3 linked regions of the Oryzias latipes genome follow. The main gene of each other region encodes a partner of the protein of the gene in region 2 in a complex. Links are inferred from orthologs where the notes say so. Each region holds a gene or a part of one and is shown on either strand. Other genes may lie near its edges.

The links.
Region 1: the proteins of nrip1 (region 2) and estrogen-related receptor gamma type 1 are in contact, whole or in part, in a crystal structure (PDB 2GPP), measured with the Homo sapiens proteins. The link is inferred for Oryzias latipes from reciprocal best matches to the Homo sapiens genes NRIP1 and ESRRG. Residues at the interface, in NP_001426204.1 of Homo sapiens: Ser378, Leu379, Leu380, Leu381, Leu383, Leu384, Lys385, Ser386, Gln387; in NP_001429.2 of Homo sapiens: Val277, Ile280, Lys284, Phe289, Leu294, Gln297, Met298, Leu301, Gln302, Lys448, Leu449, Glu452, Met453.
Region 3: the proteins of nrip1 (region 2) and rora are in contact, whole or in part, in a crystal structure (PDB 4S15), measured with the Homo sapiens proteins. The link is inferred for Oryzias latipes from reciprocal best matches to the Homo sapiens genes NRIP1 and RORA. Residues at the interface, in NP_001426204.1 of Homo sapiens: Thr499, Leu500, Leu501, Gln502, Leu504, Leu505, His507; in NP_599023.1 of Homo sapiens: Gln332, Val335, Lys339, Phe344, Met345, Gln349, Gln352, Ile353, Leu356, Pro505, Leu506, Glu509, Leu510.

What each region holds. Positions count from the first base shown.
Region 1 is NC_019861.2:25,281,593-25,285,247, reverse strand, and holds part of estrogen-related receptor gamma type 1, read left to right. Parts: intron 1-1,477; coding exon 1,478-1,594; coding exon of another isoform or gene 1,595-1,606; intron 1,607-3,655. UniProt on the Homo sapiens protein: Orphan receptor that acts as a transcription activator in the absence of bound ligand. Binds specifically to an estrogen response element and activates reporter genes controlled by estrogen response elements.
Region 2 is NC_019872.2:2,660,489-2,663,542, reverse strand, and holds the end of nrip1 (nuclear receptor-interacting protein 1), read right to left. Parts: coding exon 2,633-3,054; 3' UTR 509-2,632; downstream 1-508. UniProt on the Homo sapiens protein: Modulates transcriptional activation by steroid receptors such as NR3C1, NR3C2 and ESR1. Also modulates transcriptional repression by nuclear hormone receptors.
Region 3 is NC_019864.2:17,182,167-17,185,821, forward strand, and holds part of rora (nuclear receptor ROR-alpha), read right to left. Parts: intron 3,249-3,655; coding exon 3,138-3,248; intron 2,989-3,137; coding exon 2,876-2,988; intron 1,877-2,875; coding exon 1,712-1,876; 3' UTR 1-1,711. UniProt on the Homo sapiens protein: Nuclear receptor that binds DNA as a monomer to ROR response elements (RORE) containing a single core motif half-site 5'-AGGTCA-3' preceded by a short A-T-rich sequence.

The sequences.
Region 1 (3,655 bases), on a different chromosome or scaffold from region 2:
GGCAGGTGTGTGTTAGAGTGTTTTTGCGTGTGTGTGTCACAAAGTGGAGGAAGTGGGTCTGGCAGCTGCTGTTTCTGTGGCGTCAGTCCAACGACACCTGACAACTTGCATCCATCACTCCCTTATTGAGAAGGAGGGATAAAGGGGAAAGTGGAGGAGGCCAAAATATGGCACAGAGGTGTAGGGCAGTGAAACAAAAAAAACTTTTTCTTCTTCTATGATGGTGCAATAAAAAAAGATAAAAATGAAAGAAAATGCAGAAAAAAAGGATGTCTGTACAGTAGTGGTTATCTGCAATGCAGCAGGCAAACATACATTAATATATGATACAGGGAGGGATTAATTTCAATTTAAAGATTTGGCTTCTTGATTCCTTTTCTATCCATACGTTTGTATTTGTGCTGTTTCTGAGCATTTAGAGTGATGATTGTCTGCATATAACACTGTGCAGCAGGCCGTAATTCAAATTAACCCAACAAGGTATTCACACAAGTTGCACTTGAGTTAAGAGTACCATTAACTGCTATTTAGCCAACATTTTCAATATTAATACAATGAACAAATACAATTGATGTTTTACTGTTTCACAGACCAGCTTATCAATCTGGTCATAGATGCTTTTTCTGCAGAGTCTTCGAAGCACCAGCTCTCGCAGTGGCTCTTCACTGCCTTTAAATTGGGCTTTTTAGCTCCTTTTAAATAACACGGCTTTTTACTGATTGCCCATTAAGCCTTGTGAATTCTGTCATTAGCACATTTAGGCTGAGTGTTAAAGAAAGTGCCTCTCCTATCTGCAGGATTAATCTACTCCTCCTGTACCATCGGCTTGTAAAGGCTAGTTGTGAGATAACTAGTCTCATTAGTAGCATCCATTAGAATGTTTTGTTCCTGCAGTATTTAGAAGGTTTAGCCTTTACTTTAACCAACAAGGGCAATTGATGTGTGTCTTGTTACCCATTAAGAAGTGTTGGAGCATTTAGCCTTTTTTCCCAAGCTAACTAGCTCTTTAATCAGTCCAGTAATGAGAAAACATCCTCTCCACAGCAGCAGTCAATAGCAATCACTGTTTACTCGGTTTCACTGGGAGATGTATTGGCTTGTTGGGTCTCTGCTGTCAGGTTGGCATGGGTATAAGAAACTATATTGGTATCAAAATATATCACGATATAAAATTAGTTCTAAAAAAAAGCAAAAAATAGTGTATTTCTGTTGGGTGCAAAATATCCATGTCTAATTATCATCAAGGGGCAAAAGAGGGGGAAAGCAGGGGTCTTTGTAGTAAATGGTGAAAGGGTTTGATTTAAACGCTAATATTAAAAGAAAAAATAATACACAAACACCTAGCAATTATAAGTATTAAAACAAACTTTTTATTTTTCCCAATAATCCATGCTCTGTGTTTGTATTGTGTCTGTTGAGGACTTTATCGGAAGTTAAACCTGTCTTTGGCTTCTTCCCGCATATCTATGTACTGCAGGCAACATCGAGTACAGCTGTCCAGCCACCAACGAGTGTGAGATAACCAAGAGGAGACGCAAGTCATGCCAGGCTTGCCGCTTCATGAAGTGTCTGACCGTTGGCATGCTGAGGGAGGGTAAGGGAAAAGGTCTCTTCCTTACATTTCTCTGATAACTGTGATACATGTAGCATTGTAAAGGCTAGCGCTTAAACCCAATCTGACAGCAAACAAGCCCAGGTTCTTCTCGTCCTGCTTTCTTGCAGTACGGTTTTCTTTAAAGTAAATCAAAATATGAGATATGATAGCGGTTCAGGGTGCACTCTCTGTAGTATACACCACTGCCAGTCTCAGAACGTTAGCACCCTTGATTTGAAGTGCAAACCTGCTAATTTGGAAAACAGATATTAAGACCAAATGTCCTAATAACAGGAAATTCTTTAAAAGTTTGTCCTTACTTTAATGCAAACATTAAAAGATGAGGTCATGTAAATGTGTTATAACATACAAACTGACCTAACATTTTTCAATGTGATTTATTTTGGGCTATTGCAGTGTTAAAAGGGGCTGACTGCAACAAACGTGTGTGAAACAAGGCTACATGTAACATACTTAAGAAATAAGTAAGAGTTTCTCCACTGGGCACATCTATGTGTTACATTCCTGCTCATGTTCACATTTATACTCTGGATGTATATAAAATGGAGTTTCTTCATATAACAACACTTTCGTTATCATCATGTTTTACCCCAAACAGATAAGTTAAATGCATGTGAATAAAAAAAAGATCAGAGGAAGGCGCAATAACAGGCACATAGCTGTAAACAAAAGCTGTTTCTAACATGAGAAGAAGTTGTGCTCTCCCTCCAACCACTTTGAATAAATTTACTCTCATTTTACAGTCCCTCGTTGCTTCTTACTTCTTTGTCCCTCCCGCCTGACCTTTCTGCTCCTCCTGCACTTCCAGCAACGAAAGGAAGTAAAGGAGTGCCAAGGGATGAAGAGGAGGGTTGGTAGCAGCAAGACTAGAGGGGGAAGGTGGGAGCAGGCTTGGCGAAAGGAGGGAAGAAGTGGGGGGGAAAAAGAGATTGATTTATAGGAGCAGAGGAGAGGGGCCAGGGGAGGATAAGAGGCAGGGGAGGGGTGGGGGGGTGAATGAAGCAGAAAGTGTGTGAGAGGAGAGAAGAGGAGGGTCAAGGTTGTAATTGATGGGAGACCTGGCCTACGCCCCTTTCCTTACAGTGGTCAAGGAGTGTGTCTGCGCCGACGCCTGCCAACCCTGCCTCCATCCATTCCTGTCTTTCCCTCCCTGCGTTTCTCCCACTCAGTGTTATTATAGGCTTTGTGATGCTCCTTTTATGCTTGCTTTTCATTCATTGTCCTCGTCATTCACAGCTTTCTGCATCCTCTCAACCAAAAGAAATGCGCATGCCTGTTGCTTTCTGTCAACTCAGACATAAACACCTAAATCAAGAATGAAAAGATGTCTTTGTTTTTAAGTTTTTAAATGTTAAAACAGAGCTTTAAAGTAATCTAGAAATCTAAAGAATAAACACAGACTTTAGTTTAGGATCAGACTTTTGTGGCTTTTACTGAGCACAAGTTTGACTTGACTGTGAAAAGCACGAGCTTTCTCCAGCTCTTGTCTTTTCCGCACACTCAGAAACAACACACATCCTAACAAGCTGCTGCGGTAGCATTTGTGCTCCCAGCTGATCTGACATAGACAGAAACCACGTCTCTTCTCTCCTGTTTTGTCATGTGTATGTGATCACAAACACACATGTAGCAGCGAGTAACCACAACTAAAGACCTTAATACGCTAAACTGAAGGATCAGAAGAGTTAGAAAAAAGTTACACAAATAAATTTAAAAGGAAGCGTGTATAAATAGCCAGTAAAGCAGTTTTAGCCATCATATTCCACATTAAAAGCTGTGAACTAGGATGACCATGAAAATCTTTTCAAACAATCAGAAACACAATATTCAACAACAAAATATACAATAAAGAAATTTCTTTTGTGTGGAGATGGAACTGAGTTACATGAGTTTGTGTGCTCATGTTCTGACTTGGCAAACAAATAGCTGTCTTTTGTTGCCTCTGCTTCCCACATCTGCACACACACACATCATGCCCACACTCACACATCGGGCTGCATATCTATACATCAACATGACAGACCACAGCCACCCCATTTG
Region 2 (3,054 bases):
AAAAAGGTGACCAATAGAATGACAGAGTAACAGCTGTTTATTTCTCAGTAGAAATCTATTGGATTTTGGTTTCTTGGAGCCAACAGGTACTTCCTGCTTGGAGCGCCGGGGGGGTCACTCAGTCAAGTTTTCTCATACAGTCAATGGTCCAGACGTTAAAAATAAATGTAACCAGGAGTATTCTAGAAGAAAAGAACCGTTCTCCCCTCATGTCCCCCACCAGCCAACTCTTTTCTCACACATTGACTTCATTATCAGCAGGTTTTCTCAGACTTCCTGTATTGGGATTATTATTGTTGTGGGAGAAAAATCATCTCCTTAAAACCCTGCGTTCCCCGTTTCAGTGTTTGTTTCCACTTCAGGAAGCCATCAAGTAACCATTTCAGCTGCAGAGAAATACATTTAGAGCACTTTCAGATCAAAATGTCAGTATAAAACATTATTATGATCAATCAATGGTTCTTTACAATCAAACAAACTGAAAAAAAATGGACACATTCATACTAAGTCATGCATTTTAGAACTTTATTTCTGCGATATCAGTGCAAATGAACACCAAAAAAAGAAAACATAAAAAACAAAATAATGCTTCAGCTTTTCACATGAAAAAAAGAAACATTTTTTTTATTATATTTATATATTTGCTGCTACAAATGCAATTCTGAGATGCACAATGCAGATCTATGATTGTACGTCAGTCCCTCACTACAGCCCCATGCTCGTTCCCAGAGCTTTGTTAACCAGTAACAGAAAGGAAAATCACCAAAATATTCAATGCACGTTTAATTTTCATCAACTTGCTCAAGAGTCTGTGGTTACCCGGGGACCGCTCATCTTCAAAGCAAACCTCTCGCTCACTCTGAGATGAAGAAAAAGGACCTATTTTAAGACTTGACATTTCCCCCGTCACCAGTAGGGATACACAGGTAGTTCCCATGCGTCTGCATGCAACAGGCAGCAGTGAGGAGAGTGGGACATTATTACACAACACAGCGCAGGATAGATTATCGTTTACCACACAGAGACACATGCAAAGAACAAACCAACCAAAAGAACATGGGCACATCATCCTCTGCCTTTGTATGTACACATGTACGCATATAATTCATATTTACACATCAGGGCATTAAAAACTAGGGTAATATCTTTTTTTTTAAACATTACAAAATAGTCATCTTTCATAATGAAAGTACTATTTACACAAATATATTTAACCATCGTGAAAATGTATTAATCATAGAAGAGACAGCTATATGTATTAAAAAGATCACAAGACTGAATGGAGAAAGCAGTGAAATCAACTGAGAGGAATACAGTACGATGTAAACTGAAGAGCTAGAAACAGACAATCCTTCCAGACAGTAATCTGTCAGGAAGAGCTGTACTCTGGGCTGGGGGGGGGGGGGGGGGGGGGGGGGGGGTCCAGCTTTAAAAACAAAGAAGTACATGTGGACTTCTCTTTATTATCATGCGATTCTTTTGACATTTAATGAACAAGATATTGCCACAGGAAGAAAAAAAGATGCCCATAAACCACAGCAATTAAGAGATAATGTGAAAAAAAAAATCACAAACTGTCAAATTCTCAACAGATAACAATACTGACACAGTTTCATTACATGTCTATAAATCCCTGTCAGAGGACAGCGAGGACTCAGCTTCAAAAGTGCAAACTTCAGGCAGTCTCTTTCACCGTCAACACCAGAGGGGAGGCCTGTGTGCTTCACACTCTTACATGTGTGCATGAAAAAAAGTAGTGTGGGTTTTTCCAGGATGGTAAGATAAGTTGGTGAACCAGTGCAACCTTTAGCTGTTGCTCTAGAAACCTGTTTGTATGCAGTTGTTCAACTGCACAAACTCTGATGACCCATCTGCTCAGAGAGGCGCAGTCTGCAAACACGCTGCCTCCAATCTGCACCGTCGAATGTTGGCCCAAAGGGTGCAACTCTAATGGAACCAAAACACGCTGACCCACCTGCGGTGAGTTACTCTTTTACCGCTGTGATCATAGCACGTCCTGACAGAGCCAGCAGACTCCTCTCTGAAGATCCCACAGCTCTCATTTCACCACCAGAATCCCCCTTCAAACGCATCACTGTTGTAGGAGACCCCTGTGCCCTCCAGGCGACAGCTTTATTAACAATCCTTTTGGAAATTTACGGGACCATCTGAATAAGTTGCAACAGAGAAAATAAATAAACTCTAAATTGAGCGGGTTTTTTGGAATCAATGATAAACATTGCTTGAAATGTTATTTGCAAATGAAGAGAGGCAAAAAAAAATGACAATAGCTTGCTATGAGCTCAGTTCAGGTAAAGTGGAAAAAAAGGATTATGGGATACTTCAAGGAACAAATGAAGACCAAAATAGTGGGGGGAAAACAATCAGACTGTAATTTTGGTTACATAGGTTTAGCACTTTGCTAATACAGACCACTACTGTACCATTCAAAAAACCTCACCATCTTGAAAAAAGCAACACAAACAGCTTTTCTTTTTATAACTTTCAATTTTCAGAACAAAAAGAAAATCACTCGCATGTTCTTATCAAACCAGTTTGGCAAAATTCATTCAAAATGATGGGGAAAGAAAAGGGTTAATGAACTAGAATCAACATCTGCAGCAGAGAACACCTACTGGGAGGACTGACTCAACCCCGGGCTCTCATGGCTGTGCTTCTCTTCTTTGTGGGCTGGAGACTGTGGAGCCGAGCTCAGACTGTGTTCGTAGGCATGCATGTCACTGATCGGCTCTTCTTTGACTCGGACCACAGATGGTGCTTCCTCTGCTTGATCCCTTGCTTCCTTCCTCAGCTGAATGCTGCCCCTTTGTAGCATGTAATACAGGATGGGGTTGGAACGCGAGAGCCGTGGAGAGTCTGGGTTTGAGTCACAACAGTCCTCCTCCTGCTCTTCGTTCTCCTGACTATTCCACCGAACAGGGCTCTCCGGTTCCTGTTTCACTAGAGTTGGGGCGTCCCGCTTTTGAGCTGCAGGCCATGGAGCGGAGTGGCGACTCCATGGAGGGCGGAGGGGGCTTTCACTGGCAGGAGGGG
Region 3 (3,655 bases), on a different chromosome or scaffold from region 2:
TTGTTAACCAAAACAAGTTACAAAAATAGAAGCTTTTACAACCAGACAAGGCTTTGAATATTCACTCTCCCTTCGCTGTTTCGTCTGTGTCCTGTTAAAGGCACGGCTGGGCGAGAAAGCTGAAAGTCACTCTTAGAAAACAAAGGAAGAAAGAAACAAAAACAATCAAATGTGCTTGAAATAAAAGAACGTCTGTCCTCCACTAGGGGGCAGAGTTGGATCATAGTGAGTGTTTTTATTTTTTATTATTTCAGTCTGACCGCATAGATTTTTGTTGTAATTTAATAGTTTGATCATTTAAAAACGATTTCCCCAAATTTGAGCAAAAGGGAACAATTTATAAATTAAATACAGCAAAAGTCAATATGCATCAAACATATAGGCTACGATAAAAAATGTTTTTTGTCAAATTTAGGTAATTTTTTTTTTTACTTTACACTAATTAAAGGTATAGTATTATTTTATCATCAGAGGGAGAATCATATTTATGTTTTTTGGAAGTTAGCACAGTGTTTTCAACAAAAAAGATCCAAGGAAACCAAACAAAAAGAAACTAGCGAGTGTCTTAAGCTTGCCTTCTCATCCGTGCCTCTTTGATCACCACCCAGCCGTCCTAACAGAATTCCCGAACACTTCCAGATCCTAATCATCTGCAGCTCCCGGGACTAACCCCTGTGACCGTGTTTCAACTTGTATTTCTTGTGCACATGCAACACATCACTAGGTAAATATACAAGTCTTAAATTAAAGAAAGGTGTAAATAAAAGTGCCTTATCAATTCAACAATTAAGAATGGTCTAACTACTAATATCATACATGTTATTTAAAATAGATTCTATAAACATTTTTTTTCTGTATAGTAAGTACTTATGACCATATACCCTGTAGTACATTATAAAACAGGTGGAATGGACCCTTTTTGTTGTGTTGGTGCTTCTCAGGGGGCACCTGTCCAAAGAGAGATTAATAGCAGATGGCCTTACATGATTTCACTATGCAACAATGGTGGATGAAATCCTTGACAACTAAAATTCTTGTGTTTTCATTAGAATTACCAGAATTCTAGATTTCTTTTCTCTTTTACTTCTTTTTAAACGATTGTCCGTAGAGAGGCCCCGATTGCGTCACCATGCCAGAGGAAACCTCCCTGAAAGTCGCTGTGGGTTTTCGTTCCAAGCACTGCATCCAAAAAAGATGCGACAGAACACAAAGACAGGAGTGGCTGAACTTGACCGAAATGTGCGCCTTTGTCAGTTATTTATCTGTACGAGAACGTGATTCTGATGGTGAAAACCCTAAAGCGGCGAGCGGAGTGCAACCTGGAGAAGAATACTGATGTGGTCTAAAAAGATCCTCTTAACTCTACATGTGCGCAGGTCACTTCTCTGGCGGTGAATTTTCAGACTAAATGAAGTGTGAGATTTAAAAAGCGCAGAAGAGAGTCAAGTTCAGCCGAACAGATCTTCCTATCTCCTTATCGTGTCCCGTGGGGTGTCGGGTCCTGCATGCCATTCCAAAGACAACTTAATTTAATAAAGTAAACCTTGACAATCAACCCCCCAACGCACCCCCCATGCCTCTTCAGATGTAAAAGAACAAGTTGAACAGCGTGCCATGTGTCCACTCCGGTTTGTGCAGGGCACCAGTAAAGTGTCTCAGATTCCTCCGCCACATTCCCCTACGATGGGCACGCTGGCACCCGGCAGGGCTGCTACCCGTCAACGGGCATGGACTGCTCAAAGTCTGATCCAAACAGCTCCTTGTATAAGGGGGGGAAGTGGGCACGCACAATGTCTGGGTATATTGCTTTGAAAGCTGTGAGCTTCTCTGTATGCCTACTGCACAGCGCTCGCAGTGTCGACACTTTGCATATCAACTGTGGAGAGAGAGGAGACAGGTTGTTTAGATTCTCGGGGAGGCGAGGACATGGAGCAATGGCAGTGAAAAACAGTCCTCCCTACAGTGTTTTTTGTCCCACACAGGGGTAAAACAGACTTGTAAATATTGAGACAACTGCTGAGGCACAAGGAAAATCTGACGCTTTTTATTTTTTTTATTAAAGAGCCGATGCAATTGATAAATTGCCATTTTTCCTGTGACTTTGTGAAAGTCCCGCTTTCTTGATAAGAGTAGGCCAATTTTCCTGAAACAACTTTTTAGTTTCTCAAAGTCCCACTCTGATCACCTTTTGAGCTATTGTAAAATAGTTATTAGTGGTCTATTAATTATGATTATGCTTTTTCTAGCCAAAAAAAACTTGTTTTCTAGGACATAGTTTCTGCAGAGCGCCAGTACCGGTAGTCATTTCCCATCATCCCTTTGTTTACATATGCTCCTCCTAGGTTACAGCCCCTTACGATCCCAACCAAATATTACTAGTGCAAGAAAACTGACGAGCAGTAGTGGAGCTATCCAGCCGTGCAGTTTTGAGCTGGATGACAGCTCAGTTTAGGAAACAAAATCAAGACGTTTGTGGATCTAGTCATCTGCAAGTGGATGCATCAGAATGGGGTGGAGCTGGGAGCTTGTGGACTGCGGTTGTAGGTACTACGTCACACCTACAAGCTTTTTACAACGGCACACTTACATCTGCTCCTAATTCACAACTATTTGAATATAGACATATTCAGAAATCCAATTTTAAGCTTAATTTTCTTTATATATGTTTTCCATCATCAGAAAAATGCCACAAGAACAGGTAAAAAACACCAGAAAGACAATTTTCATTGGAGTGGGTCTTTAAATTTCAGTTTTTGCAGTGAAGGTGTTTTTTGGCTTTTAGATGAAGATCCAAAACAGTGTCACTGTGAGAGTTACTTCAACTTAGCAGACATGCAGTTTCAGGGATAATACATAAGTGTTGAATGCATTTCACCTTTGTAAGTATACCATCCTCTCTGTGGTTCTTCTGCAAAACATGCTGGAGGGCCAGCTGAATCTTCTGCTGGAGTTTTTCCACCTTCACTTTTTCCTGGAGCCAGGACCGGTCTGGAGGGGGGACATCGTCACAACTATCATTCCAATGAAACTGACACTAATTTCCGAACCAGTGGTATGAGGTTTTAGTTGGGATATGCATGAAGGGCAGCAGTATGGAATTGTTGTATGGAGTGTATGTGTGTGTGACTGACACCTACCAGCAGACATCAACACAAAGGCAGAGAACAGGGCGATCTCATCCTCAGACAGGTGCATAGAACACAAGTTTTTCCCAAACTCGAAGACGGAGCTGATCAAGTCGTCACAGCCTGCCACAGCAAAGGACAGAGAGAAGGGGCGTCGGATGAGCAAGAGCAAAGAAAAACACTCACTCTTGATCTTTATTGGGAGAGAGGCGCACAGGGAGGGGAGACGAAGGGGAAGAGATGAAAAAGAGCGGCATGCTGACAGCACATGGGAGCGTCTTAAGCAGAAGAGGCAATGCTTTTACTGAGTTTTGCCTCCCAGACGAGTCACTTTTGGCAGTTCGGTGGTGTTACGCAAGCCAAAATGAGGTCACTATTGAGGCTTTTAGTTAAATCAATTACGGGAGACAGAAAGAGAGAGACAGGCGGGTGCCACCGCGACTCAGAAAGCCCGTCATCACCCACCCCTCCCCCTCCCTTCGCCACGGACTCCTTGCACACCCCTCACAGGACACTGGGACGCATACGCT